3 separate regions of the Mus musculus genome follow, and regions 1 and 3 are each reported to be linked to region 2. The links are microRNA targets in miRTarBase. Many come from high-throughput screens and were not tested one by one. Region 2 holds a microRNA gene; each other region holds the end of a gene's coding sequence.
The links. The annotated mature microRNA mmu-miR-15a-5p reads UAGCAGCACAUAAUGGUUUGUG and lies in region 2 at 963-984, shown strand. An mRNA with a match to its seed (bases 2 to 7 or 8) in the 3' UTR can be bound and repressed. Matches are read on the target gene's strand: a 7mer-m8 pairs with bases 2 to 8, a 7mer-A1 pairs with bases 2 to 7 and ends in A, and an 8mer does both.

Region 1 (3,000 bases), not on the chromosome of region 2:
AGGCACCGGCTACAAGCTCAGCCCCTTCACCTTCACTGTGGACAGTGACTAGCTACCCACTGCAATCCCTGCTTCTCCGAAGTGGGACAGGAATAAAGAGCTGGCTGGCCCAGGAACTTTGTCTCTGTCCTCTCTGGGGTACCAGGGTTAGGCTGACACTACAGTGGCCAGAGCTCTAGACTCTGAATATGACATCTATTTGGACCATTCTTCAGCAGAGTTAGAGGATAGGAGGCACTGGTTTAGCATCTAAGCCTTTAGATGCTGCTGGGATACCCCATGAGCACATCTCCAGACTCTTGGGAACCAGAGGGTTAGCTCTAGGCCAAGAAGGACCAGTTTAGTTTTGTGGGAGTGGATTCCAACCAGGTGGGAGGAGTGAGCTTCCCACTTTTCGAGGTGTGCAAACTGGCCCTGTATTCCCTGAAGTCCTTAAGGTCCTCCATGTTTAGCTGAGGTAGGAGTTGCCTCTTTCATTCCCTCCGGCTGGGAGGCACATACATAGCCAGTGCATGTCAGAGGCCAGAGACTCAAGTTTTCCAAGTTACAAAGTAGTTCTTGCAGCTGAAGGCCCCAGCAACAAAGGCTGCTTTGAGGCCAGAGCTGCTCTGTGCATAGTGAGCCACAATGGCCCCGGCCAAGCTACTGGGGTGGTTGGGGGTGGGGGTTGTAGACTGTCCTGCTGAAGCTCTCTGAATACAGGGCTGGGAATGCTAGTCTCTTTAAGGCACTTACACATGCTTGGCAGACTAAGCTAAGAGGAACATAACATAGCTGGGCAGACGAATGTAGAGGATCCCCAGGACATTAGCAGGCCAGCCCTAGCTCTGAAGTTTGCCTTCCTAGGCTGGCTATTCCAGTTGCCATGGGAACAGCATGCCTTAACAGCAGCAAGCACTGTCCTGGCAGTTATCACCACTTAACCGGTGTGATTGATCTGACCTCTGCTCATTTGAGCAGGCAGGTAGAGTAAGGGCTACAAAGGTCATTTGGGAAAAGCACTGTCACAAATGGGTAGTTGTAGAGAAGCAGGAGTTGGGCTGGAGAGATGGCTCAGTGAAGGTAAGAGCCTGGCTTGCTCTTGCAGAGGACCTGTGTTTGCTTCCTAGTACTCACTGGGCAGTTCTCAGCTGCCTGCGACTCCAGTTCCAGGGCATCCTACTCCTGGACTTCTGGGACTCATGTGTATGTACCTCTTCCTACCACATAATTAAAAATAATAAAAATAGCCTTTGATCCCAGCACTCGAGGCAGAGGCAGGTGGATTTCTGAGTTCGAAGCCAGCCTGGGTCATACAGAGTAAGTTCCAGGACAGCCAGGGCTACACAGAGAATCCCTGTCTCAAAAAAATAAAAATAATAAATAAGAAAAGCCTGAGGGCTCATCATGCCTGTTATTTCATTAGGCAGCTGAGAGTCAGCTGGAGTGAAGCACAGGGCAAGAACAAGCAAGCCACGGCCACCACTTCCATCCTATCTGTCAGTGGAGTTTGAAGAAAGGCCATGTAAGACTGTGCTGGCGTGCAGCATTCTTGAAGCTTGGTTGGTCAGAGCAACAGGAAGAGCTGCAGCTGCTGTCTGGGCCTGACTCCTTGGCAGAGCAGCAGAGTGAGGGTCTGTCAGGAAGGGTGGCAAACCTGGGGCCATGGACATCAGCGGGGCACAAAATTTGATGTTGCTCTGAATGAGGTGTGGTGTGGTGTGGTGAAGAGGATGTCCAGCCTGGCACTAGTCACATGGCTTGTGTGTGCTGATGGAGAGAGCAGGGCACTGACATATGAAGGGTAACAGTCTGAGAACAGGTTTCAAGTTGTTTATTTATCTGTATAATACAGTCTTGGTGGTAGCAGAAATATGTGCACAAACAATTCAGAGTTCAGAGTAAAAAAAAAATCTAAGTTTATCCCATTGGGTATTAATGTACATGGATTTCACAGCTCTAATCTACCTGCACCCCAATACCCCACAGACAGCTGCTGTCTCCCAGTGACATCAGATGGGAAGCAGCTTCAGAGGGCAATGGGCAGAAGCCCGAGTTCCAGGCCAGGCAGAGGGAAGGCAAGAAGGGGTGAGGGAGCTGGCTCCACTGCTCCTCCCAGGAAGCTGGAGCTATAAAGCACACCCAGTTAGGAGACACTGAAGTTATGGCCAGGCAGTGGTGCTGGTCCATGCAGTCATGCGTACACAAGCACAGGAGGGCTGCAGCTGCCACCTGCATACCCACAGTCAAGTGTACCCTGTACAGAATCAGCTGGTTGCCATCCATAGACCCCACAACTCAGGCTCCTCCTGTTGAGCCACTTCACAGTATGTCTGTTCACTTGCCCTTCAGAAGTGTCTCCAACACATTGTCAGGCTGTCACCTTCAAAGCCTGGTGACAAATGTGTTGCAGCACATTAATATCCTAAGTCAGCACTTGGAGTACCCACACAGCACTGCTCTGTCCAGCTGGGGCCGTAAGTGGCTGAAAGCTGTAGCCATGCAGCCAAAAGGCCTTCAGTTTAGGCGGGTTCTGAGCTATTGCACTATCGTACTATATTTCTGCTTCCAATCATGGTTCAGAGTCCTAGTGAGAGTGTAAACAAAGATGAAAGAAATGTTACTCCACTTTAATATAGTCTGTAGTATCATACACATCGGTGCTCAGTAGTGAGACATCCAGGCCTTCTGCCCAGGGCAGTGGTCACAGCAGCGCTCCACTGAGGGCCTGGTGCAGCCGCCTCCCGCAGTCCAGTGGTGAAGAATGGAGCCACCCCATTCACACCCCAAGCTTCCTCTTCTGGTCAAAGTAGGCCTCGAATCTGGCTTGGGCATATTCCTGGAAGAGACCGAACAAAGTACTTCACTATGTAGCCAGGCTGACCGGACCGTCTGTGCTGCTGTGGACCACCATGGCAGCAAAACCCACACCTGTGTCTCTGATGCCATCTTTGATCATCCGGTCATGTCAGATTTTTAAAATTTCATTTCATTTGTCAGGGCATACTCATGCCACATAGC
Region 2 (3,151 bases):
GGAGAAATGGCATTGACCCACTAGAAAACATTTGCTACACAGTAATCTAGTTTGAATGGAAAATCTGGTATGAACTGGAATAATAAGAACAGTTCTTTGTGAAGGGATGGCTAAGTCCCCCACTAAACAGAAAAGAGTCTTCTTAATAGTGTAAGAAAACCTAGATATTCACACACACATAAAATGAAGTTGGAACTTAACGTAGTAAAAATTTTGTTTCAGCTAAGTCAAAGTCCTGTGGTATAAAATGATACTCCTTTAAAGGACTAGCCTTTTTAACTGGGAAACACACAAATGGTTACTTAGGCTTGAGCTACAGGATTTCTGATATATCCTTTTAGGAAACCAAATAGACCTGTTATCCTAAGATGATGTTCTGGGTAATAATAAATGACACTGAACTCACAATAACTATTCCAATATTGAGATAAATCTTGTGTTCATGTGTAGATTGGGGGTTATATATTTTTGGGGAATATGTTTCATGTGTATGTCTTCTAAATATTTTGCTAGTATAAATTTCTTGAAACTGAGCTCTTACATGTTTGTTCTTACATGTTTCCTTTAACATGAAGCTTTGTCCTATGGATTTGGCTTTGAAAGATGTGCTGCTCTTAATAAGGTAAAAACCAACTTTTGTAGCTATTTCATGTGTTAAGCACATTCAAAAGTTGTTAGTTTAATAAATGAGGTTCTTAAGTTGGTATGGGAAAATGACTTGCTTTTCTCGTTTCATGACTACAATAAATTACAGCACTGTATTAAGTTTTCTGTACGCTTTTATTAAACTTATGATATGGAAATACTTTTTATTCTGCTGAAAGCCTATAAAATTATGCACATACCAGTGTTAGATTTTTTTCAAACATAGATTTTATGTGTTCTACTTTTTCCTAAAAAGCCTTTTCTGTAAATTACTATTGAGGTGCTAGGAGTTTTCAAAACCAACCCTTGGAGTAAAGTAGCAGCACATAATGGTTTGTGGATGTTGAAAAGGTGCAGGCCATACTGTGCTGCCTCAAAATACAAGGACCTGATCTTCTGAAGAGAGTACCTGTCTTTTTATTCATAGCTCCTATGATAGCAATGTCAGCGGTGCCTTAGCAGCACGTAAATATTGGCGTTAAGATTCTGAAATTACCTCCAGTATTGACTGTGCTGCTGAAGTAAGGTTGGCAATACTCTACAACTGTAATTCAATGTGTATTGATGTTACTTGTGTGTTTACACGGTTTTTCTAATTGCATTAGTGATTTTATGTTTGGTATGATTCTGTAATGATGTTAGTAACAACGCTCTACATATTGTGTCTGTTAAAATACTATATAATTGTGGGATGGTAATGCAGCTCAGTTGGCCAAGTGCTTCTTGCTAGCATGCACAAGGCCATGGGTTTTAGCCTTACCACTGCATACCAGGTACACTTGTAATCCTAGATCTGAGGAAGTGGAAAAAAGAGAATTAGAGGCTTAACATCATCCTTGGCCATAAAGCAAGTCTAAGACCTATGTAAGGATCTGTCTTTTAAAAACAAACAAAACATAATGACTTCTGTGTGAGGAACTGATTATAGGACTTCTAGATACCCAGATTTGTAAATGCTTGGATCTCCTGTATAAAATGTCTGCTCGTGACCAGTGCATATCCTCCCTTATACTTATTTAAACTTATCTCTACATTGTTTTTAATGTGTAGTGCAGTGGGATGTTAACATGGATAGTTGTATTATTCAAGTTATTCTCTTAATGATGAGAAAAAAACTGTACAATTCAGTACTAATGCAGTTTTTGTCCAAGAAATAAGTTTTTTGGTTTGGTCTTTTGAGCCTGGGTCTCACCATGTAGACCAGGCTGCCATGAAACTCACTGAGATCCTCTTGCCTCCGCCTCCCAAATTCTTTGTTTAAAACTGTAGGCCCCAATGCCTGGCCACCCAAATGTTTTGAATGTGTGGTTGGTTGGATCCACAGATGGAGCACTGACTAATAATATAACAAGTATTTTTAAGTCTTGAACACCTTTCCAGAGTTTCTTGAGAGCTACAGTGGTACAGAATATACCCAGTACCACCAAGGCTCGAGCTCTCTTTCCAGCATTTCCATATAAAAGTTTATTTGAAAGAGTTTAGGAAGTACCAAATTGTACATGAATTTAAACTCATATTATTACTTATAATAGAAAAATACTTTTCTCTTGATTTGAAGTTTTCTTTAGATACAGATAAAGTTTGAAATGCTACAGATTATAACATAATCTTGAGTATAATGTGCCTAAATATTTCATTTTAAATGAAGGAGAATAACACTAAAATGTGTACGTTGAATTTTTAAACTTAAATTTAGAAGAATCCTTAGAATAGCTGACCTTTTTATTGGTTAACTGAGGAAACAATCTGAAATTTAATTTGCAACCTATGACATATTAGGGTATAAATCCTATATCTTCTAACTTAATAATTACTGTTTTTCTTATTTTTCACTAAAATGTTTAACAGGAGATTTTTATAAGTCAAAAGTATGAAAGACATCTCATCTGTGCCTTAATATTTAACTTCAGATTAAAGCTAACAGTCATTAATTTTATAAATATATTCAGAATATTTTAATTATTTCAAAGGAAATGTTCTTTTTTTTTTTTTTTTTTTTTAAAGATTTATTTATTGATTATATGTAAGTACACTGTAGCTGTCTTCAGACATTCTAGAAGAGGGAGTCAGATCTCGTTACGGATGGTTGTGAGCCACCATGTGGTTGCTGGGAATTGAACTCCGGACCTTCGGAAGAGCAGTCGGGTGCTCTTACCCACTGAGCCATCTCACCAGCCCGGAAATGTTCTTTTAACTATCCCATGTGCTTTATTTTAAATGTTTTACGTCATTATTTTAAAATGTTCAAGAAAACACATTATCTCACAATAATGTCCTCTAACTCTGTCATTACTTTTTACAAGGAGTCTCTTACCTTTTCAGATTAAAGGTTCATAATTAATTCTACCGTGTGTTGTGGAGATCCTAAAAGTATTTCAGTTATTTTTTAAGGAATTGTCCTCAAAAGAACCACTACTCAATTCTAATTTAAAGGTAAAATTAAGTAAGTTTTAACAAGTTGATTTAATTAACTATAGACTCCGTTTTTGGAGCATTTTTTCTGTGT
Region 3 (3,000 bases), not on the chromosome of region 2:
TCACCTACTTTCCAATCCTCCCACTGATCTATATCTATCTATTCACTCATCTACCTATCCACCCATCAACCTATTATCCATCCACTCATCCATCCATCCATCCATCCATCCATCCATCCATCCATCATGAATCCACCCACTCAACCATCCACCACCTATCATCCATTCACCTATCCACTCACCCACCAATCCACCCATCCACTCATCCATGTATCCACCCACCCATCCACCTAGCTACTTACCCACCTAACCCACCCATCCACTCATCCATTTATCTACCCATATACTCACCCATCCATCCACCCACTCTCCAGCTATTCATCTGCCTGAGTTTACACTATGAGAAAATACCGTATCTGAAACTCAGCTACAATACACATGGAACACTATAAGGGGATAATATAAAACAACCTTGCGATCTGTAGATTAAGTATAAGCATGAAATGTGTAGAAGTCAAATATGCTACTATGTCTGCTCTCCATTTGTTTTAGTACTTTTTAAAAAAAAAGTGGAAATCAAAAATCTAAACTTTTTACTTTGTTCTCGTTTTGTAAAGTATTCAAGCAACTTGAATTTAAATTTTAGACTAAATCAAATTTGCCAAAAAGAATCTCTAAAAATAATCTGAATTGGATTTTAGTCGTTTCTCATTCTTTTGAAGGTTACAGAATGCAACGGGCAAAAGCTTTCTCTCTAGCTATAAAATCAAACTAAAATTAACTTGTTGGCAAAACTACAGGACAAGTGACAACGGAGAAGCTCGTGAACATTTGTGAGTAAGGAGCCACTAGTTATATTCTGATGTGACATCAGTAGAAAAAATCCTGACAATGGCTGCGTAGCTTTAATGTCTTCCCTCCACCCTGAGAGCATAAGGACCTTACCAAAAAAAGTTTTGCCAAACATGAGTGCTGGGTTCTACAGGGCACATGGGAGACAGAACAAAAGGCTCAAATGTCAACGTCGCGAGGATGATGTCAACATGGTGGGTCTCAGTGTGGAAAAGCAGAACTGAGAAAGAAAGAAAAAGCCTCTCACCAATTACCAAGGACAGCGAGTCACAGCAGCGGCCACGTGTGCGCAGGCTCCAGGATGGCCATGGCGCAGCACAGAGCACTCAGACACACGCCAAAGCAGGGCGTAGGGAGGGGCTTGCACATGGGCTTTCACTGTCATAGTGACATGAGGAAAACCTACTACTGGCAGGTGTTACAGGATAGCTGGCCAAGCGGACAGGCGTCCACACACATAGCAGGCGATGTGGGCGGCTGGGTGACATCCCAAACTCATGAGCAAAAACCATTTTTAATTATCCCACAGGCATTCCCTGTCAACTGACACAATGTCACCCCGGATCTGAATCTTTCTTTTCATAAACAGTGAGAGATATTAAGAGCTGCAGGCCACGTAAATAATGCACCTAAGGGAAGGCAGTGTCCTGGTCCCTCTGCAAGGTCCTCCCTGTAACCCAAGCCTGCGGATATCACAGACTTATTTAAATAAGCAGCTGTCCTTCCAGAATTGCAAAGCAGACACTGGACTTTGAGCCCCTGCCTCAGCCAGGACTATGGAATCGCCATTTGGTAAAAAGGATCAGGGCAGGAGAGGGGAAGTCAGGTCTCTGCCCGGGCAACTGGCTGAATCAAGTTTATCTTGTGAGGTACTTTTTAAAATTGAAAATGTGCCGACAACAGGAGAGAAGAGAGCTGTGCTTCAGGAGGGGTGTGGCCCTGTTTGAGAGACTGAGCAGGAATCTAGCCACAGCACCATGGGTTGTGAACAGCTGGTGGCATCTCTCAGCTAAAGCCAAGCTTCCATGATTCAGAGCAAGGGGGGTGAGGTGCTGACCTGTGCTCACTCCCTGGTGAACAGAGGAGCAGGGATCCCAGAAAATAAAACGTGGAGGTCTCTTTTCCACTGGGTGGAGTAGGAGGGAACCAGATGCGGCCGCTCTGCCATGCAAGCTCTGCAGACTCTAGGCAGCTTGAACATGGCCTGGCTAACTGGTGCCCAACGCTATCAGGGCTAGCCATGAAAGTGAACTCCATCTGCCAAAGTCAGTGGGCACTTTCCACATGAGTACCCACAGGGCTCCCCTCATAAAAATGGCCGCTCTCGGTTGCAAGCGCCAAGATAGAGAAAGCAAACGATCGTACACATTTCCTTGGAGGCCACCAGGCCCAGTGTGCAAACAGACAAACATTTCATTCTGATTTGTTAAACTTTCCCCTCTACAACCATATCTACCTGGAATTCAATTTGCAAAGGGAAGAAACAGGAAAACGTATCACCCACTGGTTGGAAGACATCACTGAGACACACAGCCAGTGATCTTGCAGAGAGCTGACGTGGGGCAGCTGCGCAGATACGTGGCAAGCCCACCAAATCAGGATGGACAGGAGAGGGGACTCTCACGGCTGAGAGGGAAGCAAGATGCTGTTCCAGGGTGATGCACTAATACTGCGAGTTTCCTGGTGTGCAGCACGGTGTGCTGTGTTCTGTGGCACTTAAGTATTACACAGTAAATACTCAACAAATCCAGAAGGATGTGCAGAAGCAAATCACACTGTTAATACAAAAGGGACTAAAGCTACAGGGAAATACCACTGTGAGGGTGCAGAGAGCACAGGAGCTCCTAACACACTTGCATATGGGGCCCTGGCTGTCCACTGGTCGCCTGGCCCTTGTGCCTCAGTCAGACCAGTCATTCTCATCAAACTCAGAGTCGTCGTCTGAGTCGCTGTACTCCACAGCAATGCGTCTAGACAAGATGGTGGCCACGTCATTCCCGACAGGCTCCCGCTTGGCTTCCTGCTCGCGTTGCTCCTGCACCTTTTTCAGTTGGATTCCTGCAAACAGGAGACGGGGTGGGGTGGGGGGATCAGTCTCCTGGCTCCCAGGGAAGGACACCAAACAGGTTGCCCTATCTAGACGAGTTTATAAAGACAAGACCCTGAACATTGGAGGGAGGGCAGAGAAAACATATAAACTCAGGCTAT

Region 1: the mRNA of Chka is a reported target of mmu-miR-15a-5p. The part of its 3' UTR that is shown has no 7-base or 8-base seed match.
Region 3: the mRNA of Wasf3 is a reported target of mmu-miR-15a-5p. The part of its 3' UTR that is shown has no 7-base or 8-base seed match.

What each region holds. Positions count from the first base shown.
Region 1 is chr19:3,893,166-3,896,165 of GRCm38, reverse strand. It overlaps Chka (choline kinase alpha), which reads right to left. Exons shown (of 12, transcript NM_001271496.1): 12 at 1,797-2,818. The coding sequence ends at 2,759. Tcirg1 (T cell, immune regulator 1, ATPase, H+ transporting, lysosomal V0 protein A3) reads left to right here. Exons shown (of 20, transcript NM_001136091.2): 20 at 1-116. The coding sequence ends at 52. Among named protein-coding and RNA genes, the nearest start is that of Tcirg1, 12 kb to the left of the region's middle.
Region 2 is chr14:61,629,908-61,633,058 of GRCm38, reverse strand. Mir15a (microRNA 15a) reads left to right here and starts at 949; the gene lies at 949-1,032. It overlaps Dleu2 (deleted in lymphocytic leukemia, 2), which reads left to right. Exons shown (of 7, transcript NR_028264.1): 4 at 576-622. Mir16-1 (microRNA 16-1) reads left to right here and starts at 1,087; the gene lies at 1,087-1,179.
Region 3 is chr5:146,470,070-146,473,069 of GRCm38, reverse strand. It overlaps Wasf3 (WAS protein family, member 3), which reads right to left. Exons shown (of 10, transcript NM_145155.3): 10 at 1,945-2,850. The coding sequence ends at 2,693. Among named protein-coding and RNA genes, the nearest start is that of Gm6408, 10 kb to the left of the region's middle.